3 separate regions of the Mus musculus genome follow, and regions 1 and 2 are each reported to be linked to region 3. Evidence: microRNA targets listed by miRTarBase, many of them from high-throughput screens and not tested one by one. Region 3 holds a microRNA gene; each other region holds the end of a gene's coding sequence.
Evidence for each region. Region 3 holds the annotated microRNA mmu-miR-883a-3p (UAACUGCAACAGCUCUCAGUAU, at 1,709-1,730, shown strand). A microRNA usually pairs through its seed, bases 2 to 8, with sites in the 3' UTR of a target mRNA and lowers its output. Matches are read on the target gene's strand: a 7mer-m8 pairs with bases 2 to 8, a 7mer-A1 pairs with bases 2 to 7 and ends in A, and an 8mer does both.

Region 1 (4,316 bases), not on the chromosome of region 3:
GGTATTTTTAAAGCCCTTTCCCCAACTCTCCCCTCTGAAGTGGAGTGTTGGAGGATGAAGAATGGAGGCTGATTTCTGTGGGGAGATATTTAATACTGACCTTCAGGATGTTGTTAGTAGATACTTGGGGGGCCGGGGGAGGTAGTATAGCCTCTCCCGTTGTAAATCAGGGAAAGCAGGAGAGAGGAAAGCAGAGCTGTTTGTTGAGATGACCCCGTAACACCTGTGTTGTGTTCAGACCTGAGTCTGCTCTGTATGTTCCCCATCCCCCTTTTACTGACTTTAAAGACCTAAACCTAAAACTTTGAGCAGCATTTCCTCAGTTACTGTAGCTTGGTAGTGATCACATCACAGCATATTGGCCCGATGTCCTTCATCAGTTAAGGTTTCTTTCCATAATTTGTTACTTTGATTTTATGAATTTGCATCTTAGATTGTAAATTACATTGTATTCTTTATAGAAGTTAAGCTTGCAATGTAAGGTAGATTTCTTGATACTGGCTGACTGTTGTCATCTCTTACAGGTTTGTGTCTTAGACCTTCGGAAATAGCGTTACTAGTTGGAAGCCATGGACCGACTATGAATGTGTACATAGCCACAAGACTATCCCTGACCCATATACTGCTATAGTCCCACTTGAACCATGGCCAGTCCACTACAGCCAAATCTAAGAGAAATATATACATGCAGTATATATGAACACAGCTGTACCCTGAAGATGACAGTCTCATCCCAGCTTGTGAATTCTGCTCACCAAGTGCTGGGATCTAACCTGCTGTGCCCCTAAGTAGCGTTTAGAAGTTTGGATATGAAAACCAGAAGAGAAGGAATATGCGTTATAAGAGCAAACCACACATGTCCCAGTTTTGAATATTAATGACAGCCTTGTTTCCCCCTTTGAATCAGCAGACACATGGATTATATTCTTTTTCCCCTCAGTAGTGCGCAGTTTGTATGTACAGAGAACATGGACTTAACAAAAGCTTGCGGCAGTAGTTGGTTCTTGCTTCCAAGTTTGTTTTGGTTTAGATTATGGATGCATGAAGTAAGGGAGTGAATCATTATCTTGCTTTTTTTTCTCACCTTTTAAACAACAAAAAAATTCTTAAAAATATTTTACTGCATTCTTTGGAAGAGGTAGATGTTTGGTACATCTGATGGCTCCCAGAGCATATAACTCAATAGGTGCATATTATGGAGGGAATTGGAATAATAGGAAACTACATGACTTCCGTCATGTCACTCTCTAAGACACATCAGCAAAGGGTGTTATGTTATCTTTGTTTTGGGTTTCTGGGTTTTTTGTTTTAGTTCTTTGTGTGTGTGTGTGTGTGTGTGAGAGAGAGAGAGAGGGGTGGGGAGGAGAGAGAGCGCTTAAAATAGTTTCTTTTTGGGGACATATTTCTGCCAATTAAAGACTAGAAGGGCACAACTTTTTTTTTTTTTTAATACCATAAAGAAGAGTTTGGTTTTTTTTTTTCTAAATAATAATCTTCTGATGTTTTGTAGCCATAACTAAATTATGGTTAAAAATGTGCACTATTGTGAGAAGGAGCAACATAGTTTGGGGCTTTTATTTTATTATTTTTATTTTTTATTTTACCATTTGTCTGTTTTACTTTGTTTCTTAAGAGATTAAAATATTTCTGGATAAGGATTAGCTTCTCAAAGTGTCCATCATTCTGTATAGAAGCTTAAATATGTAATGTAACCAGATTCCAGTATTAAAAAATCTCTCATGTTAGTTTTCTTTTTACAAAGCAAGGTTACAGCAGCATATAACACTGCCATTACATGGCTAAATGTTTGCTACCTTAGTTTTGAAAACAGTTTTTAAAGGCTTGCTTTGAGCTATGTTTGGGTAGCAGTGATGGGGAAATTAGGAGAGGTGTGGCTGGAGCTATCCCTCTGCCTGCATATACGGCGCCAAAGCTGCACTTAAGCATTGTAGATCTAAGCTGCTGTTTTGTTTCCACTATAATCACTACTATATCATGTTTTTTACTCTTGTTTATATCAAGTATTTTTTTTTTAAAGATATAGGTATCCAATCAGATTCTTTTTTTTTGGTTTTTTTTTGAGACAGGGTTTCTCTGTATAGTTCTGGCTATCCTGGAACTCACTTTGTAGACCAGGCTGTCCTCGAACTCAGAAATCCGCCTGCCTCTGCCTCCCGAGGGCTGGGATTAAAGGTGTGCGCCACCACGGCCGGCTTCAATCAGACTCTTTATGTTCAGCTAAAAGTAAAATATACCTACAAAGGTTCACCAGAGGCTGTGTTTGTGAAGGTGGTTGACAGGATAGTCGATATTAATGGAAGAACCCAGGAGTGTAGGTTCTGAAGAGAAAGAACAGTTGTCAAATTTATATCTTTAAATTTTTAATTAAGAAATTGCTTAGCAAATTTATAACACTATGTGTGTCAGTAGTTATTTTGAGGCCTTTGGCTCCTGAATCCCACCCTGTGTTCTACGAAACTGCTCTAACCCAGCCCCGCAGCTTTGCTGCTCTGTTTTTGCTGCCTTGTTCTTTACAAAGCAGCGTTGATTGACGCCAGTCTTGGCTTCATTAAGGTAGGGTGGCATTTGCTTTTGGTAAAGAGGATGGATACACTTACATTTTACCATACATCGTTATATCTACCCCATTTTGTTAGTGGGGTCTATGATACTGTAATATTAAGAGTTGCATCCAGAGAGGCAGTCGTCTATGGTTTGTGCCAGGTGTTTTCAGGGTTCTATCACATTGAGACATTTAGAACCCATTGCTCTGTGGCTCTGTAGGAATTCTAAAATGCTGAGTGTCTGCCACTTGAGATTTTGCTTTTACTGCAAGAGGGTCACATCTGTTGGCCTCTGTTGTTGTTTAAAAAAATAATAATAAAAATAAAAAAACTGTGCAATAATTTTTAAACGTGCTCCCAAGAATAGACACAAACTTTTTGAGTATGCCTAAGCTGCATTTCCTTCAGCGATGCATTTGTCAATTGCACTGAATCTGAACCTGAAAGTCAGAGGTGATTGTTGATAGTGCTTTTGTATTTTGATATGGACATTTTATTCATTTGCATACAGTCATTGACGTTCTTCCCAGCTGATTCAAAGACAGTCACAAATTCCTGAAACACAGCTGCCAAAATGACAGCTGAATTTTCTGATAATGTCTTGCTTTCTGTTGGGTGTGTGTTTATTGGTTTGTTTTGTTTTGTTTTATTTTTTTTTTTCCTATTTCTTTGGCTATTTTACTTCAGCACACTAGCTGTGATAGATTGTCTGATAGAAGAGAAGTGCAGAGCTTTGCTGTCCCAAAGCCTCGGGTCTTTCCCTCGCAGATGTGGCTGAAGACATCTACCTTTAGGCTGGTTCTCTGTGAGCGTAGGACTGTGTGCTTTGCTGCTGCTCTCACTGTCCCTGTAGCCTGCTGACGTGCCATGATGCTGCTCCACAGACACCACACCATGTCTTCATCCAAGCAGTCAGATGATCACCAGAGACCACACTTGAGTGTGTCAAGTGCTGTCATGGGGCTCTCTACTTTCCTTCTTGTCTTTTTCTGAGAATTGGCTCTGAAAATCCAGAGTCCAGTAGTCTTTCTATGGTGTTCATTTAGATCATTGTTGTATATGTTACTGTAAGGCAGAGAATAGGAGGCTTAAATGAATATCATTGATTAAAGTAGACTGGAGGGAGCAGCTGCCACCCTTGAAAGGCATGAAGGAACCTGTGTACTCCAGGCAGGAGACCCTTGGGGACTTAGATTTATCCCTATTTTCCATGATCAGGTAACATCATTGAGTTTTCAAATGATTTAGGCGTGGTTACTGGAGTAGGTCTTAGAGTGTAACAGATTGTTTTCCTGAGTTATCCTCTAGGTGAGTATGTTTTAGGACTAAACACCTTTTGCAGATACTGAAAGTGCCTCCTTTTGTGGTATACAAAACAAATTATGGTGCAAAACGTAATCAATAGATTGAATCACATGAAGGGTTTTTTGCTTTTTGACATAAAAATGTCAAGAGACAGGCCAAAGATTTGTACTTTTCACTTATAAAGCACTCCTTTTTTTCCTTAAGATTCTTTCTGTCGATCAGATTTAATGAAAGAGTACTATTTTTAAGGAGCTATCTGTTTATGTAGAATGATTTCGTTAAAAGAGTAATGTAAACTATGAATGAGGAGCAGAGGCCGGCTGAGGACTGGGCCTTTTGCTATTTAAAGAAATCACGGATGACCAGGCTTCTGCAAGCACACCTGACAAGTTTTACTAAATGCATAGGAAAACCATCTCAGACAGTGCTGTCTTGCTCTTTTAAAGA
Region 2 (4,316 bases), not on the chromosome of region 3:
TCATGCCTTTAATCCCAGCACTTGGGAGGCAGAGGCAGGCAGGTTTCTGAGTTCGAGGCAAGCCTGGTCTACAGAGTGAGTTCCAGGACATCCAGGGCTACACAGAGAAACCCTGTCTCGAAAAACCAAAAAAAAAAAAAAAAAAAAAAGAAAAAAGAAAGAAAGAAAAAAATGTTGTTATGTTGTTAATAAATAACACCAAATCCCCTATCCCAAGGGCGCTATAATGTGCTACAGGTCAATAACTCTGAATAATGCCCTAAGAGACTACAGGTCAATAACCCTATATAATGCATTCAAATGTTGAATGCCAGAATAGACTTCTCCAGATTTCCAGACCAGAGTCTCTCAGGGTCCTTTTTATTATTTGTTAATCCAGGTATTTAGTGGGCTCACACATGAACTAACTATAATCAAGAATAAAATAGAACCGAGCTGGTTCATATGGGCTCCCTTTGGCATTTCACTGAGGCACATTTATTACTGTGTACAGTTGTCAAGTTTCAGTGCAACAGTGAGTAATGGCTGCACTGAAGTTAAGACAGAGCAAACAAAACCCCACCATGCTGGCTGGCATTTAAAAGCATATAAATGAATTAATTAATTCATACAAGGAAAGGGTATTTCTTGGTACACCCAAAGTAAAAAGAAGCAACCATGCATGACCAGTCTGTGAGATATTCATATTCACCGTCTTGGCTCTTGTGCTCAAATTCATAGCAAATGTCGATGTTTCTCACGTTCACGCAGCATCGGGTTCACACCATTCTGACTGCAGACCTGGTTATTGTGATGAAGAGAGGAAATATTTTGGAATACGACACCCCGGAAAGCCTCTTGGCCCAGGAAGATGGAGTGTTTGCCTCGTTTGTCCGTGCAGACATGTGACAGGATTGTCTCTCAACAGCACAAGTACTTCAATGCCTACCGTCGGCCCACCTGAGCGGTCTTCACCTTTGCCAACTTTGACGGATTTCTGTGTGGAGAGTTGAGATTTCTATTTCCTGTTTTGGTTTAACAGTTTCTGAGATACGTGTGTTATAGGTTCATTTACTACGATCTGTCCACACTCGAAAAGTAGGCTACATTAAATCATGCTAGCAGCCTTAAGAGGTAAAGCCATTGGAGAGAAGTGTCAAGCATGGGAGCTAAAATGAGTAATCTGTGTTACCACACTCTTAGTACTATCATTTTTTTTTTTGAGACAGGGTTTCTCTGTATAGCCCTGGCTGTCCTGGAACTCACTCTGTAGACCAGGCTGGCCTCAAACTCAAAAATCCACCTGCCTCTGCCTCCCAAGTGCTGGGATTAAAGGCGTGCGCCACCACCACCCAGCTGTTACCACACTCTTATTTGGAAGACTAGCATGACCTTGCTGTTGATGTGCCCATGTAGCAGGGTAAAAGAAAATTCATTTTCTAACAAAATACTCACATTCATGATCTACTGTAGGAGAATATTTTCTATGCATTTAACATTATTAATATTGGTTTTAACTTTTCCCTTTTAAATAATTTCCTGTCATCAAGAAGCTATCACATTTTTGGTACCTCTATAAAGCTAACCCTTCACAAAAGAAAAGATCACCAAAAGGGGTTGTATATTTGAAAACATTATACTTGTATCCATTTTCCTCTGTTCAACAAAGAGAAAGTTCAAGTTAGCTTCAGTCCTTCAGTGATAGGCAACCTAGGTTTTCTAGAGTTTAATTCTTTATCAGCCAGGCAATGACTCTGAACTCTGAAATGCTATATTATTTAGGACCCAAAAGAAAATGGATCAATGGCCTTATCTGTTACACATACACACACACACACACACACACACACACACATTTTCACAGCATAGCTTGGCTTTATGCTAATCTTGGCATGTGCACATTCCTCAGAGGTACCAGGTATTCCCAGCCATGCATCTCTGTGGGAAGATAGAAGAATCTCATGCTCTGCAGTTACATAGGTAGCAAGGGTTTATTTTTACTTGGGCAAATTTCAGTGATAGGCATTGAGATCATGCATTCGACCATTTGTCCTGTTCTAATTATGAAGAGCGTACCAGAAGTCTGTATGATATTAGTGTCATATTTCATTCAAATGCCAATTAATAAAGCAAAGCTGACTGAAGTTGCCTCCCCTGGTGTTCCACCATCCACAGTTTCTGTAACATTTACCCAGTGGACATGAGCGCTGCTGAATTTCATATAAGGGTCTTCACAGAAAATACATGTTCCTTCCCCGTGGTTCCTGTACTCATTTTAACGTGTTGTTTATTCTGTTTCACGACCTACATACAGTTCTTGTGCATCAGGATATATCAAGCTGCCTTCATGGCTATAGAATGTAATGTAAGAAAAATGTTCATAAATATGGACAAAAATGGTCCAGATTACTTAGTTTAAATAGCTACATTTTCTTCTGTATCTAAAACTTCGTTAGAAGAAAGTAATAGTATTATTTGCAGAAAGCCAGTCGATCACAGCCATTACCAATAAGTTCAACCTCAAAGTACTTCATAAAAATCTGACCAATCTACTAAAATACTGCAGGCGTGAAAGGTTCTGTTGGAGCTGAATGTCATGATGTTTATCATCCAGCAAGCCCTCCTTCTCACATAGCAACAGCATCCACCTACAGAAGCAGCCCCTCAGTGTAGCCACTTCACCACCCTGTGCACCCTAAGTGACTTTTGATTCCTTGAACCTTTTACTTACTTGAGGTGAGGAAATGTCTGATAATCTGCAAAACAAAACCTACCAAATGGAATCAGGGGCGACATCTCAGTCGGTCCGGCTGGCATTGCGTTGCTTGGGCTACCTCCGATGACAGAAACGTGCTTTTACTGTAGGTAAAACCATAAGAAAAGAAAATAATCTCAATTATTTTCAGAGCTAAAGTTTATATTGATCTTACCAAATCAACACCACACATATTTATTCTAACTATAAAAAGCAATAAATGCAAACAAAACAAAAAAGTTCATGGTAAAATGACGGAATCAGCATGTGAGTAAGGATCGCTTTCCTCAAAGGTTACCCTCCCACCCCCGCTATTTCTCATGATTCGTCAATATCTAGGTTAGGTATTGAAAGATCTTTCTAAGCATCTGGTACTATGATCAGGACCATATCCTGCCCATCTTTGGGCCCTTGGCACTAAAACAAGTGAATAGATCCAAGTGAATAAAGTAATTTCTCCATTGACTTTTTTTTTTAACTGCTAGTCATGTGGCTGTAACTATGGGTTGCTCTTTATTATTCCCTGATATGTTTATTCTATTTATTCTCAGTATATTAAATCTGTTTATTATGTACACTGTATGTTTACTCTCAATAGTACATGAGAACGTATTGGCTTACCTTATACAATAAATTAGTCCTTTTGTTTACTCAGTTATGGAGAGTAATGTTTCTTCCACAGACAGTTTCATTGAGTGTTAACCAGTCAACAGCTATAAATCAATATACTTGCCAGGCAGTAGTTAGCCTGCCTGCCTTCATGATTTGCAAGTGTCACATATGTGTCCTGTCACTTTTATGAACACACTCCAAGTCTATTTCCATTGAGGGGACCAACTCAAATACCCCAAAACTACATGCCAACTATTAGCAGAGAAAACACCAGTTGATAGTGTGCACCTGAAACTTAATTCAGTGACTGCAAGTTATTGATATCATTGATTTATTAAGTATTGGTAGGATTCACCTGATCAAACTCACCAAGGAAGAGATGTCTATATGTTTCTAGCAAGTGCCTCAGATGAGACTTATAATTGGCCAAGTTTGGGTTAAGTCACCTCAGCCTCTTCCCCCCCCCCATCCCCCACACTCACTATTTAGCTGAGGCTAGTGAACTCACGAGTGACCCTCTGGCCTCTGGATTCTCTTCGTCACTGATGTCACTTTACTCTGAGTTCCTCCGACACTCCATGTCATGAGATTCATTGTTAGGGTTCCTTGCTGATGCGATCTTGTTCTGGATCTTATCTGAGAAGACAGCCAGGATGATCAACATCATCTTCTTTTGTCATTTAACCAGCAGTGGGGATTCTAAGCATGAATATTGTTCATGAGAAAGCAATGTGTGCTTTCCACATCTGAGTTAGCTATCAAACCGTTGGCATGGGATTCTGCTGAGTTTGAGTTCCGAACGTATATTCCCCATGCCATATACATTTGCAGATATAAACCATGCCCCTATGTGTCTGTCCTCAGTGTGGTGAGTGTGTATGTGCGTACATGTGTGTTGGGGGGTTGCTGATATTTCCCAGTGTTAAAGGAGTGGAAAGAACATGATCCTGGTTCTTTTTCCCATTGCCAC
Region 3 (4,316 bases):
CTTTGTCCCTGCATTTCTTTTAGACAGGACAAATTTTGAGATTCCATCTTACACAAATCAGCATAGCTAAGATAAAAAACTGATGCAACAGCAGATGCTGGCAAGGATGTGGAGAAGAAAGAAGAACATTCCTCCATTGCTGGTGGGATTGCAATCTTGAAGACCCATTCTGGAAATCAATCTGGTGTTTTTTCAAAAAAATTGTAAATAGTTCTACCTGAAGATTCAGCAATACTGCAACCCAGATATTCTTCACCTGAAGAATAGATAGAGAAAATGTATTTCATTTACACAGTGGAATACTACTCAGCTATTAAGAGGGAGGACATCCTGAGTTTTGCAGTCAAATGGATGGAACTAGAAAATATCCTGAGTGAGATAACCCAGACAGAAAAGAACATGCATGGTATGTACATACTTATACCCATGACATACGCCCACAGACCCTAAGAAGTTAAACAAGAAGGAAGGCCCAATTGAAGATGCTTGAATCACACTTAAAAAGGGTAACAGAACTGTCATGGGAGGCAGAGGGAGCAATGTGGGTATGTGAGGGGGATATGTTTGCAGGATCAGGTGTGGGAAGGGAAAAGAAAGAGGCCCATAGGCCCAGGAGAATGAATGGAAATCTCTATCTTGCAGGGGACTTACGGGTGGAGGTAATCTCTAAGCAGACCCTGAGACCTAGGATAGGGAAGGCTCCCAGGAGCCATTGTGTGTGACCTTAGCTGAGATGCCTAACAATGTGGACATGGAACCTGAAGAGGCCACCTCCTATAAACAGGCAGGACCTCCTGTGAAAGATAAGGACACGAACCCACCCATAAAACTTTTGACCTAAAATCCACATTTTTTAAATTATATTTTTATTAATCCTTTACAATTTCATATTCACTTTGGTCATAATTATAATTAAGTTTGATAAAAGAATATGTTTTGTTGTGATCATCATTTCTCTTTAAGTTAGGGTAGTGACAGGTTTTTATGTGAAATGTACATGCAAAATCAATTGGATTTTCAATATCATCAGCTTAAGTGTGAAATCAAACATTTACAGACACAGTTTAGTGGGGGTGTGTTTAATTGTGAAGATTGTGATAAAAGCTGTTGGATGAAATTGTTGTTGTTGAGATGAAGTACAAAGGATCAGTCTATGCTATCTCAAAGTACAGATTAATACATACTGAAGCCTTCATTTGATATATTCTCTTGATGCTGATGACTAAATCATTGCAGGTATCTTGAGGTCTTGCCTTGTTCATTTGTTATTCTTTGGTGTCACCTGACCTATATATTTATAAGAATATTTGTCTTGTTAATTCTATTTTTGTTTTGTTTTGTTTTGTTTTTTTGAGACAGGGTTTCTCTGTTGACCAGGCTGGCCTTAAACGAACTCAGAAATCCGCCTGCCTCTGCCTTCCGAGTGATGGGATTCACGCCCGGCTATGACTTGTTAATTCTTAACCTCTTGAATTCATACAGATTCGAGGAGTATCAAGAAAGAAGCAAGTCTGATACCTTGAAATGGAGATGGAAGATAATGGAAAATATGATTATACTTCCTGAGGAATTATGTGTAAAGAAATAACATTGCATTCATGTCATACTGAGAAGAATCATGAAAGTTGTTTTTGAAGTCAGCTGATAATAATAATAATTCGTGTGCACTATAATGCTGAGAGAAGTAGCAGTTACTTTATTCTATAAGTAACTGCAACAGCTCTCAGTATTGTAAGGCTCAACAAACGCAGGGATGGTAGCCATATGGTCATATTATGCCTTCATAGAGAAGATAAATGTACTGATTCTGGATTATACTTCATCCATCTTCATGATATCTTCAGATCTATAACCATAGAGAAGAGAACGGTTGTAGAACTTTAGAAGTATACTAAGAAAAATCCTAATGGTGGAACATGAGAAGACAGCTTCGAAGAAGAATGTGTGGTTAAAAAAAAAAAGTAATTATTGTTGACGACTTACTTCAATGTTCTATTCAATTTTATTTCACATGTTGAAATAAAGACTTCAGATGGGCTGGTTCTAGAGTACCTGGGCAGTGCTCTACTCACATGGTTGCTAATCACGTGAAGTGTAGGTGAAAGCCACCATGCTGGGTAAAGTAAAGCTCATCATGTTCTTCATTTGTTGTGGCCTTGGGTAGTAAAGATGAAGAAACTATACATCCTTATTATGGCTCCAGAATCTGCTTCCTTGTACCTGAAGAAACTATGCTCTCATTTTTTTTTTAAGTTTAAATGTTGTGGAAGTTAGCATTATTCTAGCTTGCACAGAACCCAAATTATACAAATTATAAGAACAGAAAATTGCATGCCAGTCTCAATAGGGATCATGAATATAAATATCAGAAATAAAACCAATCAATGATTTCAGGCCCAACTGAATATCAATTCAAATATCTTGTGACAACTTAGATGATGAGTGCACGAAAGTGGACTGAAAAGCTACAAGTAATTAGAGTCTTCCTTTATAAATATGGCCCTAAGTGAAAAAGAACCAAACAGATTTAAATTCAAGTCACTGAAATTATGATGGTATCAGTGATTTGAATTTAAATAGACCAAGTTCCTATCTTCTGTATTCTGTAACTTTCTCCAGTAATTGAACAGCGATATACAGGTACAATTGTGTTGTATTCTCATCCTATGCTCCCAATATTCTGATTCTTTTAGAAGATTTTCATTACCTAGTTTTTAAAAGTCATTTGCAAAGTATATCACTGATTAATCTTAAAGTCACACTGGCTATCTGGCTATAGGTCAAGAGGTCTTCCTTTATCATGCAAGGTGACAAAGTATATTTTGTATTCCCAAACAGTTGAAAATAAATAAATCAATGTTAATATGTCATGCTGTAATTGGTGAAGTGATGAAAACTGCTTGGGATGATTAGCCTACATGGATGATACCTCCATATCTTCATGCTTTATGTTATATCTCACTCAAGAAGCTGTTAGACAGTTGGACTACCGACAAATCTTCCAGGTAAAGTACTGCTCTTTAATTCAGTTATTTTTGATAGGTTCTAGGTAGTATTAGTGCTTTCCATGTAAGATCACTGATAATGGTTTTCAGGATGATCACAAAGCCTTACTATACAATTGTGTGTATCTTTTTAATCACTTTCATGGGACAGCATTCAAGCATCTATGTTAGGTAAGGAAAAGGAGAACAAGGTGCTAAAATTAAGAATTATGCTTTCATAAAAAGAAAATGAGGTACACTGTGTTAATGAAAGACTAAACACAGAAACGGTTTGAGTCTTTGTTGCCCCATATCCTTACTTTTTCAACATAGTGTAGACTATCCATGTTTCACCTCATGGGTACTTTCAAAATAGAGAATGTAAAGAAAGAAGATAATCTAAAGAAAAAAAAAATAATTTCCTTCCCAGTAATTAAATAAAGTTAAAGGACTTTTATCTCTCTGATCCAGAAGTGGTAGAGATAGAAAGTGAAGGAGAGTATATATATTCCCTAAGAACTTGAGTTAAGGACTCCTGAAACTTCTTGGTAATGCAAGAGTCAGATGAGATGATATGTCTCCATTCATTTTGGTGTGTGCATTGTGATATAGGACAGATACCAGTCACTTTCTACTAACCTCTCTCAATATAAGGATACAGAAAAAAGTAAAACTTGATGAAGATGATGAGGACGATGATGAGGATGATGAGGATGATGATGATGATGATTTTGATGAAGAGGAAACTGAAGAAAAGGTCCCAGTGAAGAAATCTGTACGAGATACCCCAGCCAAAAATGCACAAAAATCAAACCAAAATGGAAAAGACTTAAAACCGTCAACACCGAGATCAAAGGGTCAAGAGTCCTTCAAAAAACAGGAAAAGACTCCTAAAACACCAAAAGGACCTAGTTCTGTAGAAGACATTAAGGCAAAAATGCAAGCAAGTATAGAAAAAGGCGGTTCTCTTCCCAAAGTGGAAGCCAAGTTCATTAATTATGTGAAGAATTGTTTCCGGATGACTGACCAGGAGGCTATTCAAGATCTCTGGCAGTGGAGGAAGTCTCTTTAAGAAAAGGGTTTAAACAGTTTAAACAGTTTGGGGTATCTCTCTCAATATAAGGATACTCATAAAGTACTGTCATTGTAAATGTAAGAACATAGATGCACATGCAAGAGTATTTTCTGATTCTAAGATCGATTGTAGCTACCTTCACAGGACATTGTTTAGGTGAAGATATAGGGGGAACCTTTCATCTAATTCCTATTTCTCATAGGTGAAAATATTTAAAATTAGGGACATAGCACTATGGAAAATAAGTTTAGTTTCAT

Region 1: miRTarBase lists Tbl1xr1 as a target of mmu-miR-883a-3p. The part of its 3' UTR that is shown has no 7-base or 8-base seed match.
Region 2: miRTarBase lists Abcc9 as a target of mmu-miR-883a-3p. Seed matches in the 3' UTR shown: 8mer at 1,947-1,954.

What each region holds. Positions count from the first base shown.
Region 1 is chr3:22,209,877-22,214,192 of GRCm38, forward strand. Tbl1xr1 (transducin (beta)-like 1X-linked receptor 1) reads left to right here. Exons shown (of 16, transcript NM_030732.3): 16 at 525-4,316. The coding sequence ends at 551. Among named protein-coding and RNA genes, the nearest start is that of Tbl1xr1, 140 kb to the left of the region's middle.
Region 2 is chr6:142,586,938-142,591,253 of GRCm38, reverse strand. Abcc9 (ATP-binding cassette, sub-family C (CFTR/MRP), member 9) reads left to right here. Exons shown (of 40, transcript NM_011511.2): 40 at 751-3,392. The coding sequence ends at 888. Among named protein-coding and RNA genes, the nearest start is that of Kcnj8, 17 kb to the right of the region's middle.
Region 3 is chrX:66,778,182-66,782,497 of GRCm38, reverse strand. It overlaps Mir883a (microRNA 883a), which reads left to right and starts at 1,665; the gene lies at 1,665-1,740. It overlaps Mir742 (microRNA 742), which reads left to right and starts at 2,061; the gene lies at 2,061-2,125. It also overlaps the pseudogene Gm14681.